Caenorhabditis elegans: one gene and its partners. The protein of the gene in region 3 interacts with the protein of the main gene of each other region in a pairwise test. Each region holds a gene or a part of one and is shown on either strand. Other genes may lie near its edges.

What was found.
Region 1: the proteins of asna-1 (region 3) and cylc-1 interact in a two-hybrid assay, tested with the Caenorhabditis elegans proteins (one large-scale study listed by BioGRID).
Region 2: the proteins of asna-1 (region 3) and K01A6.4 interact in a two-hybrid assay, tested with the Caenorhabditis elegans proteins (one large-scale study listed by BioGRID).
Region 4: the proteins of asna-1 (region 3) and spig-17 interact in a two-hybrid assay, tested with the Caenorhabditis elegans proteins (one large-scale study listed by BioGRID).

What each region holds. Positions count from the first base shown.
Region 1 is NC_003282.8:5,221,459-5,229,264, forward strand, and holds cylc-1 (Lipoprotein), read right to left. Parts: upstream 4,315-7,806; 5' UTR 4,251-4,314; coding exon 4,159-4,250; intron 4,110-4,158; coding exon 3,587-4,109; intron 3,531-3,586; coding exon 3,501-3,530; 3' UTR 3,436-3,500; downstream 1-3,435. Other genes in the region: Y59E9AL.8 (BTB domain-containing protein), read right to left, coding at 1,779-1,919, 1,967-2,662, 2,712-2,714; nsph-4.1 (Nematode Specific Peptide family), read left to right, coding at 5,433-5,709, 5,814-6,313, 6,362-6,730; thn-6 (THaumatiN family), read left to right, coding at 7,461-7,584, 7,797-7,806.
Region 2 is NC_003282.8:11,736,137-11,744,539, reverse strand, and holds K01A6.4 (Glycine Rich Secreted Protein), read left to right. Parts: upstream 1-4,235; 5' UTR 4,236-4,255; coding exon 4,256-4,522; intron 4,523-4,588; coding exon 4,589-4,633; intron 4,634-4,855; coding exon 4,856-4,921; intron 4,922-4,968; coding exon 4,969-5,445; 3' UTR 5,446-5,551; downstream 5,552-8,403. Other genes in the region: K01A6.5 (uncharacterized protein), read right to left, coding at 836-868, 932-1,370, 1,535-1,643, 1,792-1,834; K01A6.7 (Collagen-like protein), read left to right, coding at 5,973-6,293; K01A6.8 (Glycine Rich Secreted Protein), read left to right, coding at 7,171-7,509; K01A6.6 (G_PROTEIN_RECEP_F1_2 domain-containing protein), read right to left, coding at 2,395-2,494, 2,777-2,907, 2,951-3,057, 3,572-3,714, 3,935-4,053, 7,708-7,793, 7,904-8,052, 8,112-8,225 and 1 more.
Region 3 is NC_003281.10:8,891,577-8,899,750, reverse strand, and holds asna-1 (ATPase asna-1), read right to left. Parts: upstream 4,670-8,174; 5' UTR 4,663-4,669; coding exon 4,229-4,662; intron 4,181-4,228; coding exon 3,922-4,180; intron 3,714-3,921; coding exon 3,504-3,713; intron 3,376-3,503; coding exon 3,250-3,375; 3' UTR 3,097-3,249; downstream 1-3,096. Other genes in the region: ZK637.4 (uncharacterized protein), read right to left, coding at 5,095-5,191, 5,247-5,300, 5,350-5,417, 5,470-5,538; lnkn-1 (Protein linkin), read right to left, coding at 5,876-6,007, 6,314-6,475, 6,534-7,019, 7,633-7,962, 8,011-8,072, 8,128-8,174. UniProt on the Caenorhabditis elegans protein: ATPase required for the post-translational delivery of tail-anchored (TA) proteins to the endoplasmic reticulum. Recognizes and selectively binds the transmembrane domain of TA proteins in the cytosol.
Region 4 is NC_003280.10:6,170,594-6,178,191, reverse strand, and holds spig-17 (FMRF-Like Peptide), read right to left. Parts: upstream 4,544-7,598; 5' UTR 4,518-4,543; coding exon 4,277-4,517; intron 4,231-4,276; coding exon 4,160-4,230; intron 3,839-4,159; coding exon 3,770-3,838; 3' UTR 3,629-3,769; downstream 1-3,628. Other genes in the region: F40H3.3 (uncharacterized protein), read right to left, coding at 5,321-5,422, 5,603-5,721, 6,396-6,492, 6,534-6,650.

The DNA of each region.
Region 1 (7,806 bases), on a different chromosome or scaffold from region 3:
TGTCATCATTTTTGTCGTCGTCCTTCTTATCCTCATCTTTCTTATCATCCTTCTTCTCTCTCTTAGACTTCTTGGATTTCTTGGACTTGTTGGACTTCTTCGACTTGGATTTGGCTTCCTTCTTATCATCTTTTTTCTCATCCTTCTTGTCATCCTTCTTGTCATCTTCTTTCTTGTCGTCCTTTTTCTCGTCATCCTTCTTTTCCTCGTCCTTCTTTCCATCCTTCTTGTCGTCCTTCTTGTCGTCCTTCTTTTCATCTTTTTTCTCACTCTTTTTCTCTCCATCCTTCTTATCATTTTTTAAAATCCTTCTTCTCGTCCTTTTTGTCATCGCCATCCTTCTTCTCATCTCCTTCCTTTTTTTCGTCCTTCTTTTCCTCTCCTTCCTTCTTCTCACTCTTCTTATCACCATCTTTCTTCTCGCCATCAGCTGGTGCAGCTGCAGCATCCGGAGCAGCAGGGGCTGCATCTGGAGCAGCGGGAGGCGCTGGTGCAGGAGCAGGTGGTGCAGTCATCTTGGACGCAGACTTTGGTGGTCTGAAAAGGGAACCGGTAATTTTTATTCCTGAAACTCCTATAAACTCACGGTGCTTTCTTTTTTCCTCCGCATCCAACAAGCACAGCAAGTGGGCCGACGAGAAGCAAAATGAAGTGCAGATAGTCCATGGGGCTCATCGTCTTCTTGTCGCTTGGTATCGTTTATACGATGTTTTGTATCGAATATGAAGATTCGTACTGATTTTTGTTTGATTTTGATTCTCCTATGGATTCTCATTCAGGGGGCTGCAAAGGTCACATAGTGTCAGGGTGTCACGCCAAAAAAGTGTTTGTGAGATATTTTGAAATCAAAGTATTAAATATTGTTTTCACACGTAAATGTACTTCTTTTTCATTAAAATACGGGAGCATTTGAGCATGTCTACCAGTTATGCGCAGTTTAAGAAACCAAGAAAAAAAAAATTAAATCAGACTGTCAAAAATTAGCAATTATTGAATGGTAAAGTCTGTGATCGAATATTTTGGCACATGAACAAACACTAGCAGAATTCCTCATGCTTTGAGCGTTTTCATCTTGCGGCTTTTGAACTCTAAAAAATACATTTCTTCGAAATTTCTTGGTAAAATTTTGCTTAAGAAACAAGTACAAGAAAATTTTGTCAAAATGCTAAGAAAACCAAGAAATCAAGAAACAAGAAACTTATTATATTATGATAGAACGAACCTCAAACAACTCGGATTATCATATTACCGGTACAGAGAGTGTAGATAGTTAGAGAGTGACAGACATCCGGGACCCAATGGGGCGGGGCGCGCGGAAGAGACGATTTGTGTCGATTTACGAAATGATGACAACGAGGAAAATTTCGTAAATCGACACAAATCGTCTCTTCCGCGCGTCCCGCCCCATTGGGTCCCGGATGTCTGTTACTCTCTAACTATCTACATTCTCTGTACCGGTAATATGGTGATACAGTTTTGTGCGTTTGCCGAAAAAGTGCCGCATGCTCCTGGTGTAGAACTTTCTTTTAGGACATGAACAAACGCTACTTCTACTGGGAAAACTGTATCGCCAAAATCGAGGAGGGGAACGACCTCCCGCGACAAGCCCTTTTGGAAAATGCTTGCGTCAGTTTCAGAAAGTCAAGCGACAGTTGAGGAAATTCAATCAAACGCGTGGTATGTTTGGCGACATTAAAAACGAAGAAGTAGATGTGAATAAAATGCTGTATAAACATTTCTTTTCGAACGATTCTTCAAGCTTTATTGAAATAGAACAATTAGGAAAGACCAAGACGTTTGATTTGAACGAGACGCTCCATGAGGGCTGATTTAATGTCATCAGAGATTTCAGAATAGAATTCTAATTTTGCAAACGGCAAGAAATCTCGAACCGTTTTGAAGCTATTGAGACAGTGATCCTTAAAAAGTGTGCTTGTACAATTTTTATAAAAGATTTCCAACTTACCATCAATTCACACAACGAGAATCTCTCAGCCAATATCAACTTTTTTGCCATATCAACTTTGTCTGTTTTGATGAGAAATTCTTCACAAGAGTTCATAACGCAATCAGTCATGAATAAATCAGCTAGAACCATCATATTCTCCAAAAATCCAGATTCAATTTGTCGCCCGGTGGGATGAATGAAGTCAAGAAATATCATGAATTCATCGTAAGATACTCCTGGGATTTCAACAAATTTCGCTTCCTTCTCCTTGAAATTACAAAAGAAAATATTCTCGAAGAATGTAGAACTCATTGACATAATTTTCTTATTGACGTGGATTTTCTTATTCTCAACAAGAAGAATTCCATCGAAATAACGATGATGATCCGTTGAGTAATCAAACATTTTCCTTTTTCGATATCCTTGAACTTTTGTTATTTTCAGATTAGCTGTCACTTCAATAGTTCCCTCAAGTTCACGTTTTTCATTGAAAATCTCAGCCCATTGATCCATTGACTCTTCAAATTTCTTGTTCTTGGAATCAAACAATTTTTTCTCGAAAATTGTTTCCAATTTCTTTCGAGCTTCAGATTTCGTATCAAAATAGCTTAGTTGCATAACAATATCCGCTTGACAATTCCACAAAGTGTTTGCCGAATCTTCATTACATGATAAATTGATTTTCAATTTATCCGATTTTCGAGTATAAGTTTCCTGAATACAAGATTATTTTCAAAAAATATCAACACCAACTTTAACTTACCATGGCAGATTGATAACTGTGCCAACTGAAGAGCTGATTTTTTTGAAATCTTTTACGCTTTCAATGATCAGTTTAATTTCTCCACAATTGATATCTTCCTTCATTTTCTTTTGCGAGTTCATTGTGTATTTCTTACTTCTATAGAATGGAGATCTTCCAAAATTGGCAAAACTTGAAATGAGGCTGTTTTCAACATTTTTCGTGGATGTTCCGTGATTTAATATGTAGTGTAAATATAAATCTTTAGTTTTTTCGTGAACGTCACGTATTCAAAGTGATATTATAAAAGTTTGTGCAAATTATTAAAATTACGTACCAGGCACCAGGGATTCGCGAGAAATTATTTCCGCCAAAAAACTAGAAACAAGAATTCTTGGTTAAAAACAGCCAAGAAAAATTGAAGGGAATTTCAAGAAACCAAGAAACAAGAAATGGTAAAAAAATTAAATCAGACTACCAAAAATCAGCAATTATTGCAAAGTACTGTTGGATTCAGAAGAATCTAATTTTGAAGAAAGCAATCTCAAATCAATCTGATATTCTACATATACATCTGAAGATCGTGATGATATTCGTCAACAGCTTGATTTGAACGACATTGCCTTACTTGTCAAATAAATCTGCATGCCTGTCCGCCTACCTCTACCTACAGAAAACTGGAAGGGTTGTACAAGAATACTTCAATCACATCGACGAACAGGAATAAAAATAAGAAAACAAAACACATTTCAAAATAAGACATTTATTGACTTTAGAAGTTCGAATTTGAAGAGATCGGCCAAGAAATGTTTATTCCTTTTTCTCGTTGTCTTTCTTCTCCTGAAAATGTATGGTTAGAAGATTGCTCAAATAAGGGTTCTAAAATATAAACTCACATCATCTTTCTTGTCGTCATCCTTTTTGTCGTCGTCCTTCTTATCCTCATCTTTCTTATCATCCTTCTTTTCTCGTTTCGACTTCTTGGATTTCTTGGATTTGTTGGACTTCTTGGACTTGGACTTGGCTTCCTTCTTGTCATCTTTTTTGTCATCATCCTTTTTCTCGTCTTCTTTCTTGTCATCCTTCTTCTCCTCATCCTTCTCTTTCTTGTCATCCTTCTTTTCATCTTTCTTGTCGCTTTTCTTCTCGTCCTTCTTATCGTCGTCCTTCTTTTCGTCCTTCTTATCATCTCCATCCTTCTTCTCCTCATCCTTCTTTTCGTCCTTCTCATCTCCTTCCTTTTTTTCGTTCTTCTTTTCCTCTCCTTCCTTCATCTCACTCTTCTTATCACCATCTTTCTTCTCGCCATCAGCTGGTGCAGCTGCAGCATCAGGAGCAGCAGGGGCTGCGTCTGGAGCAGCGGGAGGCGCTGATGCAGGAGCAGGTGGAGCAGTCATCTTGGATGCCGACTTTGGTGGTCTAAAAATAAGACCTGTAATTTTAATTCCTGAAGCTCCTGTAAACTCACGGTGCTTTTTTCTTTCCTCCACATCCGATGAGAATGGCAAGTGGGCCAATGAGCAGCAAAGTGACATGCAGATAGTCCAACGGGCTCATCATATTTCCGTCGTTTTGTCGCGTTTATACGATGTGCTTGAATCGATTAAAAAGATTCGAACTGAACGTTTCTTCATATTTTAACACCTTTTATATACACCAAAAGGAGGAGGTTACGTTAAAATTAATTATTTTTTATCCAAATAAACTGTACATTTTTGATGAACTCAATGAACTATCAGACGCTAAACCAACACGTAAAACACGCTTGTAATATTATTAGGGAGTGCAAGCCTAATAGGGAGCCCATACTAATATAATGAATACGGCATCAAAAATTGAAGTTACAGTGTGTCAAATTAATCAAATGGCTGACAACTTTCTAGCGCTTTTTGATAAAGACAATAAGTTCCTGGAAAAGTATATGGTAACTAGAAAACGTTTGCTCTCCAATTTAAATAAGAAGTCGATCATGTTAATGTCCAGAAATTTGCATCAAATTTCAAGAAAATAGAAAACTGTATTTATTTATACAAATAATGGAAAATTTTTATTTACATTAAAAAAGCTAAAAATATACAAATTAAAAGAGGTCTCAAAAAGCAATCGGGAAATTGTCCATTTTTATCAACATTTCCATTTAAACGAGTATAGTTTTAGATTTTTGTGATCCGAGCTTAATCAATACAAAGCAAACGAAAATAGTCAAAGAAGTACAATAAATCAATAAAAAAACTTGCAAAAATGACATATGAATTTTGATGTGAATCATTCTTTAGAATAATACAGCACTGTAACAAGCCGAAGTAAGTAAGCTCTGTAAGTGAGTTTTTAAAAAGTTATGGAATAAGGATACTGAATAACTTATTGCTTTGGACCAAAAATATATATACTTTGCTGAGAAAGTGGAGAAAAATTTGGCGGCTCCTGAGCGAAGCCGCATCCCTATCTTAATTAGCAGTTGCGTCTGTAACCCTAGATTTTTGCTTCATGAGTTAATTCTTGAAACTATTTTTTCAACTCAACAAAATGTTTTTAAACACGTGAAACCGCGCTAAATACAAAAACAGAAGAACACTTTTTTTTTTAAATTTCAGAACATCTAAAGTGCCAAAATTTTAATGTGACCCCCTGGTAACCTCTCCCTAATGAAAAAGAATCTCCCTATAAAAGGAGTCGAAATTGCCATATTTGCTCATATTGGAACAATACTTCGATCGCCTTCAATCATCGTAAACAACATCGATGGCGCCGAAGCCGAATCCGCCACCAAAAGAAGACACATGGGCTTTCCAGCCGATTGGTTCACCGTTCCCGCCGAGTCCTGTCAAATGTATGGGAGAGCAGAACATGTATGTTGCTCTCTGGTACAAACATGGTAAACCAATTCATGGACGTTCCTGGAACAACGGAGGAGTGGTTGAATGCTCATTCCCATACAAGCAGGCAGAGTTGACGACCAAGCAACAGCTCGAGGGACAAATTCAGGTGCTCCAGTATGTCGGAGATCACAACAACCAAGGTGAGCTTGATGGCTTTAGATAAGGATGTTTGGTTAACTTGACTGAACTGGTTAACCAAATTGAAAGATTGAACCAATTGGGCTAAAGAGAATAAACATTTCAGGATTCTGGTATGAATGGATCAAATACAAGGATCGTATTGAGAAGATCGACGACAAACATCAACTTGTTCGCTGTGGAGATTCGTTCCCAATCTTCTGGAAGAGAAAGGAAGGCAATCTTCTTGGATACGTTGACAATAAGACGGAGGAAGGATGGTTCTCGTTCAATGGCAAGGTGATCAAACAAGTCGGTCCACAGTTGAATGAAATGTACATCATCACTCGCAACTGCATCGGAGGACCACCACACTGCGAATGCGAGAACTGTCCTAAACCACCACCACCACCACCAATCCCACCACCGGGCCCACCACCACCACGTGTCATACACGACGAATGGATCGATATCCGAGAGGGAGATCCATGGCCTACTCGCAAGCTTGTTCAAGCTTTGGATAAGTCTTTGGATACTCTTCCAGGAGTCAGTGCCGATCAATATGTTGCCTTGTGGTACATGCAGGGTGAACCTGTTATGGGTCGTGTCTGGAATGAGGGAGGAAAGGTTTGTGGATCTTATGAATGACGGAAATTCTAATTTTGGAATATTTAGGTTGCTGCCAACTTCTCTTGGTTCAACAACGAATACTGCAAGAACGTTGGATCCATTCAATTGCTTGTTCGTCTTGGACCACACGTCGTTGGATACGAGTATGGATGGATTCCATTCCCAGAAGCTGCCAACTTTGATGCTGGAAAGATCTGGAAGCCAGTTCACGTTAACAACCACAAGGGAGACATCTCAGTTGGAGTCGTTAACCTGCCAGGCGGAAAACAGATCCTTGCCAAGGTTGATGTTCGCAACGAGTCGTACGGATATGGTTACCAAGGAAAGGAACACTCGGCTCGTGGACCAGCTTGTGCCTCCAGTGTCACAGTTCTTTGCCGCAAGGCATTGCCAGGATACACCCTCGACGGATAGAATATGTGAACTCTCAAGTTCTGTAGAATAAAAATTTGAAATTTGGATGTTGTTGGGCTGCAAGTGAGAATAAAATGGGCTCAAAGCCCATATTTTTGAAAATGTTGAAAATGTTGACTGACTAAATACATTATTTGCACAAAAAATTTATTTTTTGTCAGGGATCTTCTCTCAATTTTTGGGGAAAATGGAAACAGGAGTTGGAAACCCTAAAATTCAATCCGAGTAATACGAGGTCGTACTTGGTTCTCAATGTCAGATTTTATTTTCTCATTACGAGCACTCCGGTATAAAAATTAGTGACACAAGGGTCCCCAATAATAGCCATACTTTTTGCTATGAGATTGAAACAAATTTGTTTACTTCTTGTTCAGTTTTTCAGGATCTTGTAAGAGTTTCAATCAATTAAAAGGCAATTTGTTATATAGATGCAGTCTCACTAAAGTAAGATGTTTTTAGTGTTGATGAAATCAAAAGCATGAAACAAAAATTGCCAATGCTCAGCCTCCTCGAAATCAAATAATCGCCAATTATATTACTCTTATTAACTCTTAACTCTTATAAATAACTCATTTTGTTTTTTACAAACTATGCACATATTTGCTCAGCATTTATTTTTTCCTGTTTTTCAACTCCAAACCGCCATCTAAACCAACACAAATGACCTATCAAAACTTGGACAGTTACACTACAAAAATAGGGATTTTATTTGGAAAATATCAAGCTTAACATGCTCTTCCTTCTAATAGCTTTTCTATTCCCTTTGAACTCTTTCGGAGACAGAAAAATTAATATTTTCAATCGTTGCCCATTCCCAGTTTGGCCAGGAATTGTGGGTCCCGGGAACCCTGAAGGTAAGGCTGATATGGTAGCTAGGCACTTGTATAGGCATTAAAATAGGTATGTAGGCATGTAAACTATTTCCTAGTTTGTATAGTGTATTAAGAAAACATGTTTCAAGTTCAAAAAATTGTTACTGTTTCACATTGGGAATTCACGATTGACAATTTGTGAATGCAATGTTGAGTCATCATATCAGGTATCGATATTAAAATATTCATTTCAGGTGGCGGCTT
Region 2 (8,403 bases), on a different chromosome or scaffold from region 3:
ATGGAGTATATACATAGACAACGAAAGAAAACAGCAAATGTACAGAAGAGAAAGGTCAGTATGAAGATACGCAGATAGCGAGAGAGAGAGATAGACGTTCCTTTCCAATTGTACGTCATTTTTGCCTACGTCACAATCCTTTACATCCTTTCCTTTACACTAAAACACAACTGCAAAAATAACCGAGTTTAGCATCCTTGAGTGCTAAAAATAGCTCACGGACAGGCAACAACTGCAGATATTGTGACGTAGAAACGCTAGCCGAAGAGTAATTTGGCAAGGCTCCTGAGAATTTGTACGTCATCACTCAATCAAAGAACTGAATATATGCAGCTGCGAAACAATTTATATAATATTTTCTGATATTGTGAAGGATTAAAAATGTGAAGAAATAGCTGAATACTGAAATATTGAACAACTAACAATTTGTAAGAGTAGGAAGGAAACAATTTAAATTGTTATTTTCTAAAATGAGGAAGAGTGGAAGGGGTTCTTATGGTAAATACCAACGAACAGCTGTCCGCGTTGCGTAATTGTATTTATGACCCGTTCTGTACGAGATACTAGACGCAGCATGAGAAGATAGACATTGACCGTTCAACGGCAACCGGTCGGCTCAATTGATTTTTGAGTAGCCATGGGAACATGTGTGAGATAACTTTAGATCAGGGTGTGAGCCGCAAACGATATGTTTCGGTAAAAATAAAATAAAATAAAACTTTATTGAAATTGAAAATGGTGAACCAGTGAGATTATGTGCCCTTCTTACTTTTTCTCGATTTCTGAAATTAATGTTGAAACTTTGAAGTGAACATTGTTAAACTCACATCCCTCTTCAGTTTTTTGTAGACAAAATCAAATCTTTTCTCTGAAATATAAAAAAAAAGTTGGGCGAAAATCAAAGCTATAGTTTTACAATTAAAAAAATTACCACAGATTTTGCAGGTTCCTTTTTCCCAGTATCGATTGCATCTTCATTGGTCACATGCTGAGTGCTCTCAATCTCTCTGCTACGTGGATCCGATTGCGTCTTATCAGTGGTTATAGTTTTATCTTTCTTCGGGATAATGGATTTCTGGGACTTCTGTTGAACAGGAGGCGGCTGAGCAACTGAAATCGGCTGTGCAGTCTTGGCACCACCTGATGGAGTTAAAGCTCGAATTGTTGGTTGTTTTGAGACAGGCTTCTTTTCCATTTCAACAATGTTCTCCAATGTTGCACCATCCTGATTTGGTGGAACGACTGGTCGTTCAGGCATCTGGTATTGTGCAAGAGGATTTTCGTCGTCCTCTCCAACAATTGAATCTCCAGTTTTCTCAGGTCTATCCTTTTTCGTTAAACGTTTCGCCATTTCTTTGAAAGCGTCATCCCTGAAATTTTTTTGTGCATTTTCTAACTTTATCTGGAATTCATTTTCAAAAATGTTGATGCAAACTTTAGAAAATTGGATTTTTAATTTGTTTTCAGTCAATTCGGAAAAAACCAACACGTTGGTACAACACACGCCAATAAACAAATATATGGAAGCACTCACGTGGAATCTGGTTCTTTACTGGACTTGACTCCGTTCCGACCTCCTTTCGTTTTTGTTGAACCTCTGTCATTCTCGATTGTCGTGAACATTGCGGTTGCGGTGTGATTCCCTGGAATTAGATATAATTCTCAATTATTTAATTACAAAATTCAAGTTCTAATCTGCGAAATAACATTAAATTACCGGTGGAGTGATTTCCAATGTGGTATCCTTCTTTTCCTTTTTAAATTTTGCACAAAACACGAGAAAGCTATTACATGATATTGCAAAAAGCATCGAAATAACAATTATAATGATCATTATATTGACAGTTGAATTGTACGCTTGACCAAATGAAGAAAGTAGAAATACATTTTCATGGGTAAATTTACTTTATCTTTTTCAAATCAACGTTGTTCTAATTAGTGGGAAGAAAATTAAAAGAACACAACGTGATTCAAAGTTGATATTTTACCATCCACGTTTGTCTCGGTAGTTTTTCTACGAGCATTATAAATTTGTGTGTCGTCGAACTCCACTCCGCTTATTTCTACAGATTCCAGACTAGCGCGGCAGGGACATTTTTTCTTGAAATTTCAAAGTTTGCACATTCGATTCCAATGAACGTTTCAAACTGAGTCTACTTCATATATTTTCTGTGGTTTTTTAGCCAATGTTCTTGTAATTTGTAAAAAAAAATATGTAACCTAAACCTTATTTTGAGCAAAAATTCATTTTCATTCAATTCACACATGAAAGACAAAAGGCATTGATAATTAAAAATCATAAGTAATTGTTTTAAAAATTATATATCATAGCGAAACCGAAAGCACGCGATGAACATGAAAAGCGAAACAAATTTGGCCGAAGAACCGTTGAAATCACAGAATATCGTCTCCAATTGCAGATCCTTTACGAGAAAATGATCGAAGAGAGCCAGTGTCAAATGAGTGACTTACACTGAGATACGTACGAGATATTCTGAAAATTTCAAGATTGATTTGGAGTTTGTTCAATTAGCAGTATTTTCTAGGAGATATTGTGCATCTTTAGATACCTATGTACTATTAAAATTTTTTGTCACATAAGAAAATAAAATGCAGAATATCTACAGAAAATACCTGAAGTTTGAAAAAAAGGTTCACCGCAAAACACTCGAAAACAAGATCAACCACACTGAAAAAGTCACACAAACCAGTAGACAAATTCAAAAAAAAAGAGAAGTAAAACAGTGCGTAACATGTTTGAATGAATGGCGGATACCTTCGGATACTGTTCCACACTTGCCTAGTACCACGCCGTGACGTGGATTGCTGAGCTCGAAGCAGAAGCTCATTTTGACATTCATTGTCACTTATTGAGGTACGACTATCACCAACATCTTCATCGTCGTCCTAAAAATGTTGAAATTGATTTTTAATAAAAAAGGACGCTTACTTTGACAATGACATAATAAGCAGTTAAAAGTGCTGCCGTGTTAGCAGCCATTGTTGTAATGGAGAGAAGCGGTTGCAGATGTCCAGTCACCAATGCTAATACCATTACTGTAAGATAATCTGTTTTATTGATATTCTTCACAACGAAATTCAAAACCAGAGGAAGAAGTAATTGAGAAAACCCTCTGAAAAATAAAAATAAACACGAATTCAATTTCGTCCTTACTGTATCAATATAATTTATGATGGTCGAAAAATTGTCATTACGCGATTCCTGATTACCTATATAAAATTATATTATTCGAATTCTGAAAATGTTCCCTACTAATAGGCGGGTAATTTGAGTGCACCCTAGGCCAAATATCTTTCATTTAAAAAATTGAAACGGGAAAAAGCAAACGGAAGTTCGAGGAATACCACGTGATGTTATAGGTCATTAATATTTAATCATCATCTATTCAAAAGGGTCAGACTTTTCTAGTTTTGAAAAATCTTGTGAACTTCATGTTTTGATGCTTATTTTATATGGTTGCTTGAAATTAAACGTGTCTTCAAACACGAGGTTCAAAATTCTTGATCAGCAAAAACTGAACTTTAGAACACCACAAAAACTGTGACTCACGGGCATTATTATTCTGAAAATGATTTATGGTGAGCGACAGTGTTGTGATGAATGCAGTTGGAACTTGAACAACGAGAAAACTTATTGTTACAGTCGTTATTAGAATTCGTGTTTGATCTCGAGGAGTTCTTCCGAAACGATTGCTGAAATTAATAGAATTGAATAAAATTGGTGGTGAGAAAAGTTTCAAACTGAAATAGACTAGAAAATAAACGGAAATTGAAGGAAATTAGTTGGAAATTAAGACTACAGTTTTCAACTTCTTTTTGCCTGCCTGGAAGGCAACATTTCAATTGAATTAGAAGACATTTTTAAATACTATTTCATCTGAATTCGTTCGAAAAACACCGCCTTAAAACTAACTGTTTTGTCAAATCGCCCATATCAATTTCGGGTTCTCGAATGAATCCAACATGAAGAAGAGCCAGTAGAACTCCAGGTATCACAAATTGAACAGCAAAATCCGCAAGTGGGAGGAATACCTGAAAAATTGGTTTCATTTGAGACCAGGTACATTCAGAGTACGACATCAATTCTGACTCAATAATTTTTGCATAAAACCTCCCCCACATTCATGATCTACATCATCAAAATCATATAAAATAGACAATGTTCGAATGAGAATTCGTATCAGATCATTTATTCACTTTTCATATTTTCTCTTTCTAATTTGAAGAGAACACTATGTACTCAAAAGCTGTACTACTTGCACTTCTGGTTTGCTCAGCTCTTGCCGCCCCAAAAGCAAAAAAGAACCAAACGGGAAATGAGCAAAATCAGCAAAGCCAGTCAGGTCAGAGACAGACTGGACAAGGCCAGCAAGTAGGATCTCAGCAAGGATTCGGAGGAATGCAAGGAGGATTTGGAGGGCAATCAGGATTCGGTGGTGGAAGCTCCCAGGGAGGGTTCGGTGGATTTGGACAGCAAGGTGGATTTGGAGGAAACTCTCAGGTAACCTTTCAACATAGCTCTAGAAACCTGTTTCAGAAAAAAGTAAAACAAAATTAAAAATTTCAGGGTGGATTCGGAGGACAACAAGGAGGATTTAGTGGAAATTCTCCGGTAACGTTTAGTGCTTCATACGCCTTCCACGTATGCCTAGGTCACCTTGAAGGCTCCCTACGCCTATTTTGCAGTCGTCTTTGATATCTAGCGGCGCGACTGATATAGTAGTTACTAGGCACGCAGGCAGGCATTTTGTGACTCATGGAAGACGTAGTACTAAATCAGATACTAGTTTTGCAATCATGATGTCACGAACAGAGTAATAAAAAATATTTCCAGGGTGGTTTCGAAGGACAACAGGGAGGATTCGGTGGATTTGGTCAGCAAGTTGGTTTCGGCGGGCAGGTTAGATAGGAAATTTGTTTAGAAATTTTTAAACGTAACAAATATAGGGAGGATTCGGAGGTAACAGTCAAGGTGGATTCGGAGGTCAGCAAAGCGGTTTTGGTGGTCAAGGACAGCAATCAGGATTTGGCGGAGGTTTTGGAGGAAACTCTCAAAATGGATTCCCAGCTCAGAGACCATCCCAACAGTCTGGATTTGGTGGACAAGGAATGCAATCTGGATTTGGAATGAACTCTCAACAGGGAGATTTCGGTGGACAGGGACAGCAATCTGGATTTGAAGGAAACACACAAGGACACTCCCAAGGAGGATTTGGTGGGCAGTCGTCTTCTGGATTTGGAGGTCAGCAAGGTGGGCAAGGTGGACAAGGTGGATTCGGAGGATCTACTAGAACCGGTGGAATGCAAGGAGGACAAGGAGGACAAAGTGGATCAAGTGGGTTCGGTGGATTCGGAGGCTTGGGCCAAGAAGGACAACAGGGTGGACAGGAAGGATCCAATGGAAACAACAACCAAGGATTTTAATATGTGATGTTCAGTATTTCATCTAAAAACTGGTAATGTGTTCCACTGCTCTTTTTAACGCTAACTTTAATGTTTTATTTTGACATTTTTAATAAATATTGAAGCATTTTTACAAACACCTCTAAACTCCTATTTCAAAGTCCACTTCGAACTTTAACAAATCGGATTATTCATTGAACAATTTGAACATCAAACGTATGTTTTTACTCGACAGTTTTCAAAAACCACATTTGCCGAACCACGTCATAATCCCATAGAAATCGGTGAAACACTGTGTATAGAGAATATCCGTTATTACAGTAATGTTCAAACGTTAAACAACTATGATTTTTTCGTTTTGTTTTGGAAGAGGGAATCCCCGAAAAGTTATCCAACCGGTATTTTCTCGATGGTATAAAATGAGTTTTTATTGGCTCAGATATCATCAACTTCTAATTTTCAGCCATTTAAGGTTTGTTTGAGAATTTATAACCTCACTTCTAAATATTCGATTACAAAGTTTTAAAAATCCTAAATTTCAGAAAACAATGTCCTACTCCTCTATGATTTTTGTTCTCCTCGTTAGTGTTGTACTTGCCGACGACCAACCAATTCCTCCACCAGTTCAACCAGGCATGGAAGGACAGCTTGGAATAGGGCAACCAGGTTTCAATGGACAACTGCCGGGACAAATTGGAGGAGTTCAACCTGTGATTGGAGGAATTGGGGTTCCAACACTTCCAACTTTACCAACTCTGCCGAGCCTGCCGACACTTCCAACAATCCCACCACCAGGAGTTGCACCAGGTGGAGTTATCGGACAACCAGGAGTTGTCGGCGGAATTAATGTACCACAACCAGGAATATAAATTTTTGCGCTTTGTCTTTTTATTCATATTTATTGTATATATCACAACTTTGATTCAAATAAACTTGAATTTGAATTTGAAAGAAAATTTGAAGGCAACATTATCAAAATAACATTATTTGGGAGAAATTAATCTCAGAATATTGAAGAGCATTAAAACTTGGTTTTGATAATTAGTGAATAAGAACCAACTATACTGGAATTATCTATTCATAAAAAATTATCATGATGTCTTTGTCTGTTTTTACAATAATGGTTACAATAATGGTTAATAATGGTTAATTTACAATAATTACAATAATTTTTACAATGACACATATTTACAAAAATACCATAGCCTGCTTTTAACGCGTCTATAGTCAACGTACATGTGCAGTTTTTTTTTCATTTTTAATTGAGCTTTTGGAATGAAAAAGTAAGAAGAATCACTAACTAAATACCGTTTTCCAAAAATTTTGCTCAACATTTTCTAGCTCAAATGCTGTTTCGATTTAGAGATCTCAAACGCAGAAGTAGATTTTAAATTGGCATATTGCTACTATCACTTTCTGAAGAAAAAAGCTTTGCATAGAGTTAAGCGGCATTGTTTTGTTTCAAAAAAACTTGAAAAATTCGCATTTTGATCGTGATCAGCGCAGCAACAAAACAAGTTCATATTATAGCTATTTTGCCTGTCGATCATACGGCTTTTCACCATCAAACCACTAAATCCCATCATTACACAGACATACTCATTGGCGCCCACAGAGTTCGAGAAAAATTCGTTGATTCACAATGAGATTTACATAAGTCCACCATCATATTTTTGGTATAAAACGACCGAGGGAATCGTTGAAAAGGCATATACTTTCACCAGTATTCTTTAATTCTTCATCAACATGTTCTCTACTAAACTCGCAGTTCTTCTCTTAGTTGTCGGTATCGTCATGGCTGCACCACAAGGTGAACAGGGAGGTCAACAAGGAGGTCAGCAAAGTGGTCAACAGAGCGGACAACAGGGAGGACAAATGGGGGGACAGCAAGGAGGACAAGGTGGATTCGGAGGATCTACGGGAACCAGTGGAATGCAAGGAGGACGGGGAGGACAGAGCGGATCAGGAGGATTCGAAGGAAACGGAGGATCAGGCTCTGAAGGACAACAAGGTGGACAGATGCGAGGTCAACAAGGACAGCAAGGAGGACAAGGAGGATTCGGTGGACAACAACAGAGCAACTAAATAACTTTTTAAAGATGTTTCCCACACTATTTTGAAATAAATTCATCACGATTAGTATTGTGTAAAAACAGAAACATAGGTTTATACTATTGAGATCTCCTTTTTTGAGCGTATTAGACGGGCTTGCTGTGATTTTAGTGAACTTGCCGTTAAACAGGACTACGCAATTCATACTGTGAAACGGAAACAAACACTCACCTTCCAAAACGATCGATTCACAATATTTATCAGAGCGCCATCTCGAACCATACATCGCCCAGCCCATTGAGGTGTTGGTTCAGTATCTGTATTTTTGAAGAAATTAGATAGAATTAGATTGTTTCGGTAAAGTTTGTTTTTTGTGGAAAAGATGAACCACTATTCAAATTTTGCAACAAAAAAACTAACAACTCACCCATACAAAACTGGTATACTTTTGTGTCGTGCTCGAAAAACCTCAAAATCGCCAGTGTGACACATACAAAAATAATGACCCAAATAGCTCTTGAAAATCGTTCGACCGTTCGAAGTTTCAGTGTATTTCGATGATATTGAGTTAGAAATCTTAAAATATGTATGTTTTACAAATGTAAAAGAAAAATAAAGAAAATATTGCTCAAAACCTTGCAGCGGCCAGCAGCACCGAAAATAAAGTCATCATTGTGTCTGTCATATGTGGTATTGTTTCCATTGAAGTTCGAAATAAATGACACATGGCAATCGATTGATTTAATGATCTGAATCCTTTGAAGTTTTCTTAAACTTAGATTTTAGCAACTGACCGTGTGCCTTCACCTACGAAATAGTACCATACAGTGAAGGGAAGAGGTGAGAGAACACTGAGCCATCCACAAAATGTTAATAACCAGATCATTTGGTAAAGTGGATTTGGCTGAAATTAAATTGGTAATTTTT
Region 3 (8,174 bases):
AACTGTTTAAAAAATTTGAAAAAATAGTTAAAATTTAAAAAATTTCTGTTAATCTTTTATGAAATTTTTGAATGTTTCAAGTACATTGATATCATTCTTATATTTAGCTGCAAAAATTAACAAAAAATCTATTTGCTTCTCTCCGTATTTCTCCATTTCTCTGGTATTGCTCCAAAATCAATTTGATTATTTTTTCAAATACAATAAATACTTTTTTCAGCATGGTAGATCAGTTGGAAGCCTCTATCGAGAATATTCTCGAACAAAAAACGCTAAAACGGATTTTTGTAGCCTGAAAAGGTGTCGGAAAGACGACAGGCAGTTGCTCATTAGCAACGCAACTCTCAAAAGTCCGTGAGAGTGTTCTAATCGTGTCCACCGATACCGCCCACAAAATCTCGGATGCCTTCAGCCAGGAATTCACTAAATTTCCAACACTGGTCGAAGGATTCAAAAATCTCTTTGTGATGGAAATCGATTCAAAACCAGATGGAGAAGACGTCGAAGTGGAGAATATGGAAGAAATGTTGCATAATGTCTGCAGTTCTAAGCTCAAGGACTTGGCGGCACTAAACCATCATCGATTGAAGTATCATATGACACCACAGGAATGCCTGATGTGCCAAATTGTGATGACTCGAGCCGATGATGTGAGGAAGCACATGAGAAATGTGCATCACATCACTCAACCGACGGTGTGCTCGTGTTGCCATCATACCTATCTTTCGTTGAAATCCGTTCATGCACATAGAAACTCTATAAAATAAGGAACAATGGATTCTGAGATACCGATCGCAAAATCGACAAATGCCCGCTTCTGTTTTCTGGCACCGCCTGCCAAAGCTGTTGTGCAAATTAGAGGAACGCCTCAACGAACACCTTCACCACACGTGGAAGAGCCGAAAACTCCTGTCCTGCGACTTTTGAGAAGCTCGCAGAGAAATAAACATCAAAAGTTCCATGTACATTAAATAGAATTTTTTTTTACTTAAATTTTCATCTTTTGTTTTGAACTTTATGCTTGTAACACTATTATACTACTAGTCAATACTAGTTCGCCAAACTTTCCCATCACTTTTTAACTCTGTTACATAATACTTTTGCTTCAATGAAACGGGGAAATGATTTTATTTTTCACATTTTATTCGTGTTCCAATGGTTTTCTATTTCCTTCTTTTTCTTCTTTACTGTTTTTCAAAAAATATTTTCCAGATGAAATGTGGATTTTTTGTTCTCAAAAAAGTGCAATACGCGACGTTATTGTTGTCATGTCTTCAAGTTTCAGCCAAAAGAAGAACGACGCCCTCCACGCAGAGCTCTTGCTCTGTCTCCGCCTCCAGCACCAAGTAATGATCTTCTTGCAAAGAATCTGGAGATGATTGAGATGCATCAAAATGGCCTTCATTCCGAGGGGACAAACTTTTAGGGTGGCAAGGTATTTTTGGGGACAAAGTATCCAAAGTGACATGGTATCCAGTCGACAAAGTGCCATTTGTCTCTGACCGGGCGTATCTTCGGTGACAAACTTTTTCAACTAGTTTTTTATATATATTTCTCAATCGATTTTTGTTTTTTTTTCACTGGAATAAGTTTTTAAATGCAATTTTCCATGGATTTTCGGCCTTGACTACTCACAATTGAATGTATGAACAATGATCCCTCCTGATGATCTGATTATTCAGCTTCAAAGGATCAGAAGGGTACCTCCTGGTGATCTGATCCTTCAGCTCCGAAGGATCAGAAGGGTACCTCCTGGTGATCTGTTCCTTCAGCTTCAAAGGATCAGATGGGTACCTCCTGATGATCTGATCCTTCAGCTTCAAAGGATCATAAGGGGTATAAAAGCAATAAATCAAGCATAGTTGATCAATTCTCCGTGATAACAAACTTTTGGGTGACAAAGTATCTTAGCGGACAAACAAAAATTACCGGAAACTGATATATTCCAAATATATTTCAAATATATTCCAAATATATTCCAAATATATTCCAAATCTATTCCAAATATATTCCAAATCTATTCCAAATGTATTCCAAATATATTTCAAATATATTCCAAATATATTCCAAATATATTCTGACGTCCTTTTGGCACGCATCATATTTTCGATCGTGAAAGTTTTGAAACGGTTTTATTTTACAAGTTTATAATTTTGGAAACAGAAAATATATTTATATAAGTTTTAACAGCTGCGGTGTGTGTTTCATTAACTTCCAGCTTCTGCCAAATGAATGTTTGGAATTATCCAAAGCCTTTTTTCACCATTTTTATAAAAAATCTGAACAGTGAGTACAGATTTGGTCATATCTCTGTTCCCTGGTACGATAATAACACAATTTCGCACAGAAATTGAGAAAAAGATTAGTAGAATAGGAAATATATTTGGAATATATTTGGAATAGATTTGGAATATATTTGGAATATATTTTAAATATATTTGGAATATATTTGAAATATATTTCGAATATATTTGGAATTGATTTGGAATATATTTGAACTAATATCAGATTAAGACTGAATATTTGACAACTCATGTTTATTGTATAAATTCAAATTTCAAAACTGCAGAGAATGGGATATTGCACGTGGCTATTTGGTAATTTGAATGCAGAAAAAATTCCAAGGAATATGAAGTGGACCAAGGAAAATAAATTGGAAATAGCAACTTGAACATTAGGAAACGGGGCTAAGTGAATTGAAAATGAAATCACATGAAAAATAATACGAAGGTAAAATTACTCCAAAATCATTGTATCTCCAACTGCCATCCCCTCCATGGAGGCTCCATGGCCCTCCATTCTCAGGATCCATAAGTCTGGTTAAAAACAAGCTCGTAAACTAGAGATTTTAACAAGTTGTGTGAAAATTGAATTCTCTGAATCTAGGTAAGTGTCGGATGAAGTCTAGCAGTCGGAAAAATGTACTGCTTGGTCCCATGACCTGTCGGCTGCCTAATACTAGGTACTATTTGAAAGAAATTACGTCTAAAATCTAGCTAATTAAAATGATTACTTGACAAAAATAGTTTGCCAGGCTGAAGTTTGAAAGATAATTATGTTCCAAATATACTTCAATCCTAAGTAAAAAACAATGAATATCATAAATTATTCATTTGATTCGAAAAAGGCACCCACAATAAAGCGAGAAATAAGGGGACAGGGAATTTTGGAGAAAAAACATGGGATAGGAAGAATCTTTTAACATAAAAAACCACAGAACAAGTTGATTTTGTAGGAGAACAAATTAGTTTAGTTTTTGTTAGCTTCAGGATCCACCATCCGTTCGCTGAACTGAAGAATTGCGGGCCCTCCACGCACTTCTGCCTCAAGAAGTGGAAGTTTGACGACGTGGAAATCCTCGTAGAGCTCATCGATCTGGAAAAATTGATTTATTCCGCATCTAGCAAATCACGACAGAGTCAAAAATGCACTGTGGTTATTCAATATTAATTTGCTCAAAGTTTCTAATTTAATAATTTATCAAACTTCTCATTTAAACTCACATCTGTCAAGTATTTCGACTGAATCGCCTGTCTCGATGCACATTTTCTGCATGAAACTGTTCCATTTGCATCGGTATCCGGAAAGAGAAGTTGATTCACAATAATATTATGAGTATCGATTCCTTGTTTGGACAACTCCTGAATAAGTCGTTCGGTTTCGTAAAGAGAGAGGAATTCGGCAATGCAGACGCAGACGAATGTGGTGCAATTCTGTAAATACATATTTGAATGCTCTGCAGAAACTTTGATGATTTAAAATCTCTGAATTCAATATATATCAAGCTAGAATTTACCCTTGATATAATTGAAAAGGTTAAAAAAACATATTACCAAGATGCAGAATTTTACGACAATTTTCGCGTCTGGGTGATATATCTCCGTAGTAATTTTAAATATCACTTGAATCTGAAAAACTAACAGGATCCTTAAACTGTGCGTTCATCTTTTTCACAGATTCTAGAGTCGTTGTCATCTTTTCAATCATTTCATTCATTGATCCACCTCCCATTCCAAACATTCCACCGAATTGATTCATCATTGGTCCAAACATTCCTTGAAGTGACAGAATTTTCGTAAATACTTTTTCCAAAAGTGTTGGGAATTGAAGAAGACGAAGAGTGTGCCCAGTTGGAGCGGTGTCAAAGACCACAACGTCGAAGTCAAGAGAGTCTATCAACCTGAAAAAAATAATAGATTTTTTAAAAATCAGAATCATTGACACTCACTTTATCATTTCCCCGAAACTCATTGCCTCATCAATCCCAGGAAGTCCTCCAGCAAAACTTTGAAGAAAATCTTTTCCCATCGAGAATCCACCGCTTCCACCTTCGTTTTGTGCAGCATTTTGCAGCATTTCTTCGATATTCCCCATTTCGACGCCTTCTCCGTTCGGATTTGAATCGATTTCCATTGCAAAGAGATTTTTGAAACCTTCGACCAGTGTTGGAGTTTTTGTGAATTTCTGACTGAAGGCATCAGAAATGTTGTGGGCGGGATCGGTGGAGATGAGAAGAACTCTCTCACGAACTTTTGAGAGTTGAGCTGCCAATGAGCAACTGCATGTCGTCTTTCCGACACCTCCCTTTCCACCCACAAAAATCCATTTTAGCGTTTTTTGTTCGAGAATATTCTTGATAGAGGCTTCCAGCTGATCCGACATTATTTCTGAAAAAAAAAGAAGTTTTAGGTTTATTTGCATTTAAAGTTTGAAATTTTAAAAAGAAATGTCTAGCCTTTTGCAGTTTTTTTAATTTTTCAAGTAAAAATGGATACAAATTTTTATTGTTTTTCTACAGTGTTTTCTCGACTTGATAGGAGTTAAGTTCTTTAATAAATAACTTTTTTGATTCGATTATGAAAATTCCGAAAGTGTTTATTACAGTACTCCAAAGGCGCACAACTTTCTGCATTTAACAAAATTTTCTCGGGGCGAGACCCAGGTTACAAAACCTCAACATTTTATGTCTGGGTAATATTTTTTTTTGGAGAACTGAAGAAATAATAATAAGGTAATAGAAAACCATTAGAACACGGATAAAACTTGAAAAAAATGAAATAATTTCTAAAACTTTATTAAATAAAAATCGAAAAATCATTCGGACGGTTGTTTCTGTGAAATGTGAATTAGACGATCATCGATATGAACTGGTTCGGAGCTCGGAGTCACTTGCACACCACTGGCCTTCAATCTGAAAAAAATGAATGTGGGTTCCATGTCATTGCAACGATTTTCCGATGTAATACCTCAATTTTCGATTGTCCCAAAGGCAATCCGGCATCGGGTAAGACAGAAGATACCTGAAAATATTGAGTTTTTTATGAGAATTTTCCATAAAATGAAACTTACAGTTTCAATGGCGCAATGTAATAATCCAAAAACTCCAGAATTCGCTCTTTCAGACTGTTGTTTGGAACCTGAAATTGGAAACTTTTTGTTAAAGTTAACAAAAATTTGAAGAAAACTCACATATTTCGGCGAATATTTGCTCTGCCGCTCCACGTCATTCATTAGAAAATATTTTGGATTTGACTTCATTAGGAAAAAATTCAAAAAGTTTTATTTTAATAGTTCGTCAAAAAAACGAAAAAGTCTCTGTTCAGTTTATAAAGAGAGTGATGGAGGGTAAGGGGTCACGTGGAATAAATATTACAGTTGTTTTCAAATAATGTTTCTATTTTCAAACAAGGAAAACTCGGATTTAAAGCTGATCTCTAAAAATACTCCGACGTGCAATCACAGCTCGAAATGGGAAATCTAAACACAGGATGAAGCTTCAAAAGGTCAAATATGCAAAAAAAGAGACAAATGATGGGAACCCGTAAAAAACGATCTCGTCTTCAAGAAGATATGATCTTAAAATTCACAAAAAAATCTACATGGCATCGAAATGGAATCGATGAGATTGTTGTTGTCGTTCGTATCGATCTTCCTTTTTCTCTCGATAATGTAAGAATACGACAACCATTAGAAGCATACAGCATACGAGAGCAATGACGGCAAGACTCTGGAAAATGAGAATATCGATTTATTATAGAGACGTGGAAATGTGCCCCATGGCCAACTGACTACGCTCCGCCCCCGAGCCATGGGTCTCGTTAGTTATTTGGCAGCAAACCCGTGAATTCAACGAATTCGTATTTGCAACCATTTTGAAATGTTTTTCGTTAGTTTTAATGATTTTTATGCCGAAATTATGTTTAAAGAATGCATTAAAAATGAAAAGTTTTTTTCTTTTATTTTTTAATTTTATTTTATCAATTTCCGTCGTTCCCATTTGGAGCGTATGTCCACGTCTCCATAATAATCTTACCTGAACAATAAGAGCTGATGGTGTGACGTAGAGCCGACTCGTCCAGTGTGGATATTGATCCGATGGTGGGAGAACAATAATCCGAGAATTTGGAACAATCTGTTTAAGACTGTGTTTCCAATCTTCTTTACGATCTGCGTATTTCGGAATGGCAATATTCAACTGAAAAAAAGATTATTTGGAATAATTGAACGAAAATATCTAGAAGATATGAAATTACCTCATCCACAAAATTTGGACTTCTTCCAAGACCATACAACAAAAATGGGAGATAAAGTGCTCTATTTGATGAAGCCGGAACTTGACATGCTACACTCTGTGTACTACCTCCCCATCCATCTGTCATTGAGAAAGAAGCACATGCACCAGTCATACTGATACTCGATCCAATCTCGTTTGATTTTGGATTGCATCGATCACTGCAAACTCCTGTGAAAACTTGAACTTTCAAGAATGTTGTATCTCCTTTATCAGGGCAGTAGATGAATCCAAAACGTGTCTGACCACCGTATTCATACTCAACAAGAAGATCCAATGATCCATCTTCAAGAAGATCAAAAAATGTTCCCATTTTGATGACTCCGAGAGACATATTTTTTGGTTGAATATTCTCTTGAGCTCGGATTTCGAATCGTCGTGTTCCGTTCTTTTCACATTTTGTACATTCTGCATTGTCCATTACTTTGATCACAGGGCGAGTGTTGGCCTGAAATTATTCAAATTTTGATTAATGAAAGGTAATTTTTTTTGCATTATTCAGTTAACTGAAGTTATTTTTGGGAAATCAAGTCTGATCTTCCTATTTTTACTCTTCTCGTACTATTAATTAATTAAATTTTTGAATTTTAGGCCATGTCCTAGTATTTTCTCGTTACTTCCCGTTATTTCTAATGAAAATCGATAACACTATCAAATTGATTATTCAATGAAAAACAGGAAAATGAATAAACTATGTGATTTTAGAAGTGTCATTCATCAGCAGAACAAGATACATTACTGTATTTAGGAGTGAGTGGTCTGTTAATTAAAGTAAAATGCGTCTCTGCATCTGTTACAACATACCGAGGGAAATCAAGAAAATGCGAAAAATTACTTGAAATCCAAAAATTTAATTAGTTAATTGTCCGAGAAGAGTACACGGCCGCGTTTCTTACAAAACTCAAAGAAAATTAAAAATCGAAATTCAAATTCAATAGACGAAGAGGTTGATTTTTGGAACTTTTAAAGAATCAGATATACATAACGCCTTATCAAGCCATAGAACATTTTTTAAAAGTATACAACCACATCCTGTTTAAAATAAAAATTGTTAAACTCACTCTGGTTGCCTGCGCAATAACCACCATATCAGGGAAACTGTCCAACGAGAATTCTCCAACGCGGAATATAACTCGTGAAAATGGTTCTTTAATAACTGTATAATCTTGCATATCACAGGCCACCAATCCCCAAAGTTTAGTCTTCGACCAAGAAGCCATTTGAGTAATGTGTGAGCACTCATCTTCACGGCAGATTGGTACTAGAATGTCGAGTTCACCGTCCGAATCAACATCCATAACAACTGGAGCACCAACGAATGGATATTGTGCTGGAGTCAATTTAGGAACCCAATCTCTAAATTGCCAGCTGATTTTTGTCTTTTGCCAAACCTGAAAAATATATTGCATTTCAAACTACTACTGTTAAAATAGACTTACACTCATGAAAAGTGATCCATCGCTTTCTTTGGTCATGAAGACAATATCAGCAATCAGGTCGGCTAAAACGTGAAATTGTTAGATTCCAATTAAGAAAATATAAAAATTTAAACTCACAATTCAAGTCAACAAACAAGTGCGGCATTCCTGGATAAATATTTAAT
Region 4 (7,598 bases), on a different chromosome or scaffold from region 3:
CAATAGGAGAAAATTGGTAGAAATTGCAGACTGATAATGATTTAAATTTTTGATGATAAGCAGTGAGCGGTTAGTTGGGAAAACGAAGCAGTAAAAAGTAATGCAAACACACAAAACTAATCGAATGGAGAAATTGGAAGCGAGAGGAGAAATCAAATGGAAAACTGCGACAGAGAGGACCAGGAAACCAATGTTTATAGTGTGATCATGTGCACCAAGGACACGTTACTAATAATCGATGTAGAGGGAACATAGAAAGACAAGGGAATGCATAAAAAGAGAACAAATGTGAGGGAGAATGCAATGAGGAATAATAACTGTTTTTGTGACAAGTCTCTATAATGAAAACTAGATCAGGAGAATTGCGGAATGTTAAAATATAATCTTTCCAAAAATATAAATTACACCAGTCGAAAATCGTTTAGAACCGCTCTAATCGTTTTTAAAATGCTAATTCAAATTTCGTGTAAATCCCAAGAATTACTGAAATATGAGCAATTTTATACATTTTCGTGGAAATGTTTAACAAAGCATGGTTATTCCTTTCAAAATTGAAAAAAAAAAACCATTTCGAATCATGCGAAGTCGATTCTTAAATTTTAATAAAATATAATTTTTTAAAGGACACTTAAACTTATAATTCTGATTTTAATTATCTGCTTATGAAAGCGAAATTGAAATTTGAATTAAAATTGACTTGAATTTGAAAAATTTTCGAAGTGCATCTACTACATATGTAATGAAATACTAAAATCTGCTAACTTGCTCTGAAAAAAGACCAATCTGGATTCCAAAAAATTAGTTGTAGACAGGCACGTAACAACCTAGTTTTAATAAATAGAAAACCAAAAAATGAAAAACGCTCAAAACTGATTTCAACATTTATTTGATTCTAAAGATTAAAAATCTCAAGATGTGATAAAACATACGTCAGTAAGTCAACGGATGAAACTGAGCTGACAGTGAGTTTGTTTGTTGTTTTTTTTTTTTGCTTCCTTCTCGATGAAAAATGACTCAGTTATAATGAAACTACAGTATTTTCTTTCAAATAAAATTATTTAAAAAACACGAATGTCTCGAAAATTGAATTACAGCGGCATCGAAACCAACTGTGAGCAAAAACAAAACAATTTACAAAAAATTCATGACGCACGATGCCTTTCAAATTGTTTGCCCCTTTGGCCGCCACCCCGCGATCGTCTATAAAACAGCTGTCTTTTGTCGGTGAAAAGCGTGTTTCCTCGAAATTATTTCAAGATAGGAATACACCCCGCAGACAGATTGGCAAGTGTCTATGACAGACTGTCTGCCACCTTCTCTCGATTTTCGATCATCTTTTACCAAAAACGGCTTGTTTTGTTGTTTGTTCCCACTCCCCCATCCTTATCTCTTTTCATCAAGGACATTTTGCTTGAAATGGTGTGAAATAAGAGAAAATGAGCTGATATCAGTTCGGAGAATCTGCGAATCATCTGCCAAGATGAACCAAAAAAAGGGAATCGAAAAAACGAGGAGATGGGAATTGAAGACGACAAAAACAAGATGTACGCAAAAAAACCAATACGAAGAAACAAGAGAAGTGAAATGAAAAGCACTGAGAAACAAGACCCAAGGACATGCGAACCTAAGTGTGACGTTCACGTGCCTCACAGAATGATTGGGGTCATCTAATTCTAGTGTAACAAAAAAGAAAAATGAAATTGAGCCGACATGATCTTCGGATCATGTGAAAATTCTTCAGATAAACATTCCGAATTGGATTGTTGGTATTTATTATTTTTGATGTTAGGCAACATTTGGCGCTGATGGATAATCTGAACTGAGTCACATGGAAAAGAGCACATTTCCGAGGAAAAGCCATTCAATAAAACCATGTGACTGATTGTTCTCTTAATGAAAGCAGCAGTTGAGCTTATAATTCATTCACTGATTGTTGAAAATAAGTTAAATTAGATGTTTGGAATCTAATAACTACTATGGAAACAAATAGTTGGCCACACCAAGAGGTCTGCCAGTGGAAATGGAAGGCGTAACTTGCCTGAAAACTAATGCATGCCTACTTTCTTGTGAAAATATATTTTAGCCAATTCACCATGAAAGAACGAGGAACAAAAATAATCGGAACAACGGAAGTAAAAAAGTGAATTGGAGCAACAAGGACATCAACCAATAGACTGCTTGAAAATGAATTGAAGAGTTTTTAGAGATTTTGGTTCTAGGAATTCAACAATAAATCCACGACTTGATTTTCTTAGAAACATAGCTGACATTCTTGAATCAAATGTGAGCAAAAATTAAAACATTCAAAATCTAAACTGAAAATCTGGAATAAGAGGAAGGGGCAAAAACATTTCGGGTGGTGTTCAGAATGAATGAAATTCCAAAATCGTGCTCTGAATATATGAAGTTGAAATAATACAATTCCATAAGTGAGTAGATTTCCTTATTTCATAATGTAACCAAACTTTAATGTCTAGTCTTCTGTACAGGAAAAGCTCACTCTGAAATTTTTAGATACACTTCTTAGAGTAGGCGAGTTAGGTTAAAAATGAATGTTTCTCCTGGAAAATACAGTACAAGAATGAAGACTTGCTTCTGAATATTGACATATTCACTAGAACTGAAGCTTCAAGGGATGTTTGGTTGGAACTATCACGCAATGTTTTGCCATTTTTCAAAAATATATAAATGTTTTTTTTAAACTTACTTACTTTTTGCGGGTAAACATGCAGCTAGTGTGTCCACTCAAAAATGTATTTTCCCCCGGTAGTAAGTCGAAACACCCGAATGAAATTCAAATTCCGTGCCAACACTCCATTTTTTCTTTTCCTTCTTTTCTTCAGACCCTTCTGCTTCTTCTTCTTCTCCTCGGGTGCCCCGGAAGAAACGAAGAGGACATGAGCACTCACTTGCACACAGAATACGTTATATGGGGATGTCTTGCAACAAGCCGAAGAAGTAGGAGAAGAAGATGAAAAAGACTATGCAGAGGACAAAAACGGCGAGAACGTGGCCACCAACCGCCTCCGTCGTCGGCAAACCACTTTTTTTCGGCAAAAAAAAACGCAAAAGAAGAGCAAGAAACGATTAAAACTGGCGTCTGCTCTCCGCAAACGCCGGAAACACAACGATGTCTTGTGCGTTTGCAACGTCTTCTGATGATATCATCTATTGCGCGCTTCAATGGATAGATCACGCAAGACAAAAGGAACAAGTAGGAGGAGATGCTGAAGAGGAATTGGCTGAAATCATTTATATCCTTTCTGCTTTTTTATTGTGCAAGACGAAAATGTCTTTTCGTGCAGAATGACTAAGATTTTGCAAAAAAAAAAAACCATTCATTTTTTGCAATCTTTTTTTGATCGGGGATATGATACAAGGAGAAGACGTGGAAAATTGAAAAATTATTTGTGGAAATGTTCCTGACAACCATATCGAAGAAAATTTGTAAAAAATATGCAGAATCAGCACGACATAGAAAGACAAAAAGTAAGTTCTTATCAGACTTGTCATCTGCTTCAAGTAAAACAAAAAAACTAAATTCCGTTTTGCTTTAGTTAAAATTCTCCAGCCATTAGAGGCAATTTAAATTTTGCCTATAAATATTAGTAGTTTTAGATAAGGTAAGATGGGCAAGATTTATGATAGTTCACAAAGATGCAAATATTGCTATCTGATCAAAAATCAGGCATACATATGTTATTGTATAACACTTTTTCAAAAATCTTTTTCAATAGTTGCAAACACAAGTAAAAAAATTAAATAAAAATCAGTCTGTAGATTCAGACTTCCTCCTGGAGAAACCCATAACTTTTGCTCGACCACGACGAACGACGAACTGAAAAATGAAGAAGATTTGTGAGTTGTTCATAGATCGGAACCAACTGTGAAACATGGGATTACAAACTCAGAAATTGAGTGCTTTTGGGTAAAAAGAAGAAGTAGGAGGAACTAAACTATTTTGAAAAATGTCTTAAATGGGTTTTAAAACGGTTTTTAAAAGTTGCCTTGTTTTGGAAATATTAAAATGAGTTTTTTTTAGAAAGTTTTGGCAACTGAATATAGAAATATGATTGAATGAATTTTCAATTAGTTAGTGAGGAGTTCTATATGTATGTGTGTATAAATTCAATTAGGTAATAAAATAAATAAAACTTACCCCAACATTTGACGGCTCCGCATGCTCCCCAGAATCCTTTTTTGATTTGAAAGAAGGGGGTGGACGGAAACCTGAACTTGTTTCAAAATTAAAAGTATATCCCATATAATTGCTTGCCTGGTGGTCTTGCAACTGGAATGCTCATTTCTGGAAGTGGATCTAGTGGAGCAGCAACTACAGATGGCGGAGTTGGACCATCAATAACTGTGACATCTTCCCCTTCATCCCTTCTAAAATCTCCTGAGTTCAGAACAAATGCAGCATCTTCAGCAGATTCTGTATTTTCAGGAAGTTCTCCAAGCGACGAGACCAGTGATATTAGAACAGAAACAAATATCAAGGTTAACGGAAGATTCATGGTTGATCTGCCAAGTTCCGTTGAATCTGCAAAAGTAGGCACGGAAATGAAAACGGTTTTGTTCGAGACTGAAGATTGTGACCATCATGTTGTGGCATCATTCAATTGGCAATTAGTTTGTTGTAAAAGTGAAGGTCAATCGAGTGTCTATATGACCACTGGACGAAAGGAAATTTAATAGAGAATAGGAAGGAAAAGATCAAGATGGCATGGAACAATGACAATCGAGATTTGCATAAGTATTTTTTTCAGAATTATCTGGAATTTTTGAGAGATAGAAATTGAATTTTTCACTACGTTTTCAGTATTGTTTCGTCATACACGGGCTCTCAGATTACTTTCAGATGTTTCGGGAAAACAATTTTGTCAATGTCCAAAATTGCACTTTGGGAGTATTGAAAAGATAATAATTAAAAAAAAATGTTTTGATCCAAAATTTTAATTTTTCAGAAATATATCATGATGCGAAGTTTTGATTTTTTGATACGGCATGTTGAAAATAAATTATAATTTTTATAGTTTTCATTTATTATTGATAAAAGCAAGTAGAAACCATAAAACCCTCAATTGTTTCGAATAACTTATCAAAAGAACTTTTAATAAAATGAGAAATGAGTGATTGAAATCCATAAACAAAGAAATGAGATGATCATGAGAAACAAAGTAATACAGGAAGAAACATTTGTAAAGTGGTAAATGTAATAGATAAGAAGAGTAACTCCGCCCATTGAATAGAAATCAACAACAGTTACATTACTTGTGAAGCCGACCTTGACCATAGGACACAAATGTTCCAATTATTTTCAGATATTTTTTAGTTCCGTCCTCTCTTTGGATGGTTGTGCAGCCGGCTTGAAAAGTGCGGCAAGACTTTCCAAAAAGTTCATTTCTTTCCCAAGACCTCCCTGAAAACAAAACAAATCAAATCTAGTGCTTGAATCTCTCAAATATCTTTTCAACATCTAGCAAAACCTCATTTAAATAAGCATCGAGAAGGAAAGATGTGAGAAAAAATAAGAGAGACAAATATCAGGAAAAAATTTAAATTTGAATAAGATCTTTTTGCTCTTCAACTCCCAACTAACCACCAATTTTTTGTCGTCAAGTGTCAGATTCTGCCCAATATCGATTCCAGTTTTTTCATCAACACCAATTGAGCCGCTGCCTCCGTAAGTTGACCCATTTAGAATTGCTTCATCAGTTTCTGAAAATATAAAGCTTAAACATATTAGTGTTGAATCAATTCAAAAGGTTTTACATCATTTTTCAAATATTAAATTCATTCATGCGATATAAGAATTTAGTCTTGATTGAACCAATTCATAGTAAACTATTGAATAAATATTCAAAAGAAATTGGGTTCTTACTGCGAACTTTCAACTGTTTCTCTACCAGTCCATATATATTAAACTTCAATTTGGTATTGTTTGTGTTTCCTTATATAAATTACTTACATACCTTTAAATTGTTTTTTTTAATTCAAAAAATTATATGATAAGATCTAGATTTCCTAGATTTTCCAGATAGATTTTTGAGCTCCTCGTATTTTTCCTAGTTGTATGGTTGATTTTGTTTCATTCTCTTCAATGTCAAATTCAATTGTTCACGGATGAGGAGTTCGAATAGAGAAACACAAAAAAATAGCTGGCACTAACCATAATCAGATGATTCATTTTTTATTCGCTTCTTATTCAGAACATAGTTTGAATTTTCTGTGTGCCTCTTTTAAAGAATAATGTATGAATAGCTCATTCTGAAGCTTATGAGCCGAGAGAGGGAAGAGTCATTCCGTCGATTGAATGCATTTTGAATTTCTATACTCATTTGTTCCCTCTCTTGTTGTGAAAAATAAATCCTTCATTTATTTTGCCCACTTACTATCTAATTTGAACGTTCCGTTTCCAGTCGTCAGTTTGAAGTCTCGATTTGCTCCCCAACCAAACAAATTGAAGTTTTGATTTCCGCCAATTTCCAGCTGAAAGTTGTTTTCTTTTCTTTTCTTCCAAGCTTTCTTACCTCTCCATTTTTATTTTTATTCAATGAAATACCACCAAACGGTAATGGAATATTGAATTGTGCTGGAATTACAGTTAATATAATAGAGACGAGCAGAGCGTGACGGATGAGAGACATGATTGAAAGGATATGGATAACTGACTGTCTATTCTAAAACAAGATGGATTTCTCTCTGTTTCTATGTACTCTCTTCAAATCTCATTATGTTTCAGATTGACGCGATTAATAATCATTGAAAGGTGGTCAGTGAAAGTAAGAAGTGAAGATAGATGACTAATTCAGGAAAATGCGCTCTAACGATGGGTGTTCGCTAGATTGTAGGAAACTTCAAAAGAGTGATCTAGGGGTTAAGAAAATATAAAATTTGCATTTGGATTGTTATGTCTTCTGAGCAAGAGGCTTCTGGGAAGTTGAATGCTTTGGATTTTAGCGCCGATTTCAGATCACCGGATGCTCCTTACCTATTGGTTTTTGTTTCTCTTCATTGAATTTTAAGATAACATCTGAAAAAAATAACACCAGAAGTCACATTTATTCACTTGAATTGATGTCAACTACTTAGCCAACTTTAGTTTGACAAAACTTGGGCAAGACTTTACTGAAGCCGGATCCCGCTATAGCTCAAATTTGAATCATCACAGAAACATCACAACTTTAAAAAATGCCAAAATTTTAAACCATGATGATCCATGATGATTTTTTAAATTTTGAGTTAGTAAATACGGATATATAATATTTTATGACCTCTATTTCTATAAAACTTTTGATTATACCTAAAAAGTTATTAGAATTGAAAAGTTCACAAAAGAAACGGGTAAGGTTTTGGAAAATATTTACCAAATTAAAATTTACTCTGAAAAATATCGTCTTTAAATAAACTGTAAATATATTGAGAGCTGACGTAAACGAAAATTTCCTGGGAATCTAAGAAATGTTTAGAAGCTTGACCTCTCACTGAGCGGTAAAAAGTGTGAAATGACACATCGTAAACTGCTTGTCAAATCTCTTCCATCTGGTGGCTCATAAAATGAAATGTCGTTTTCCAACATTCCGCGCTTCTCATCC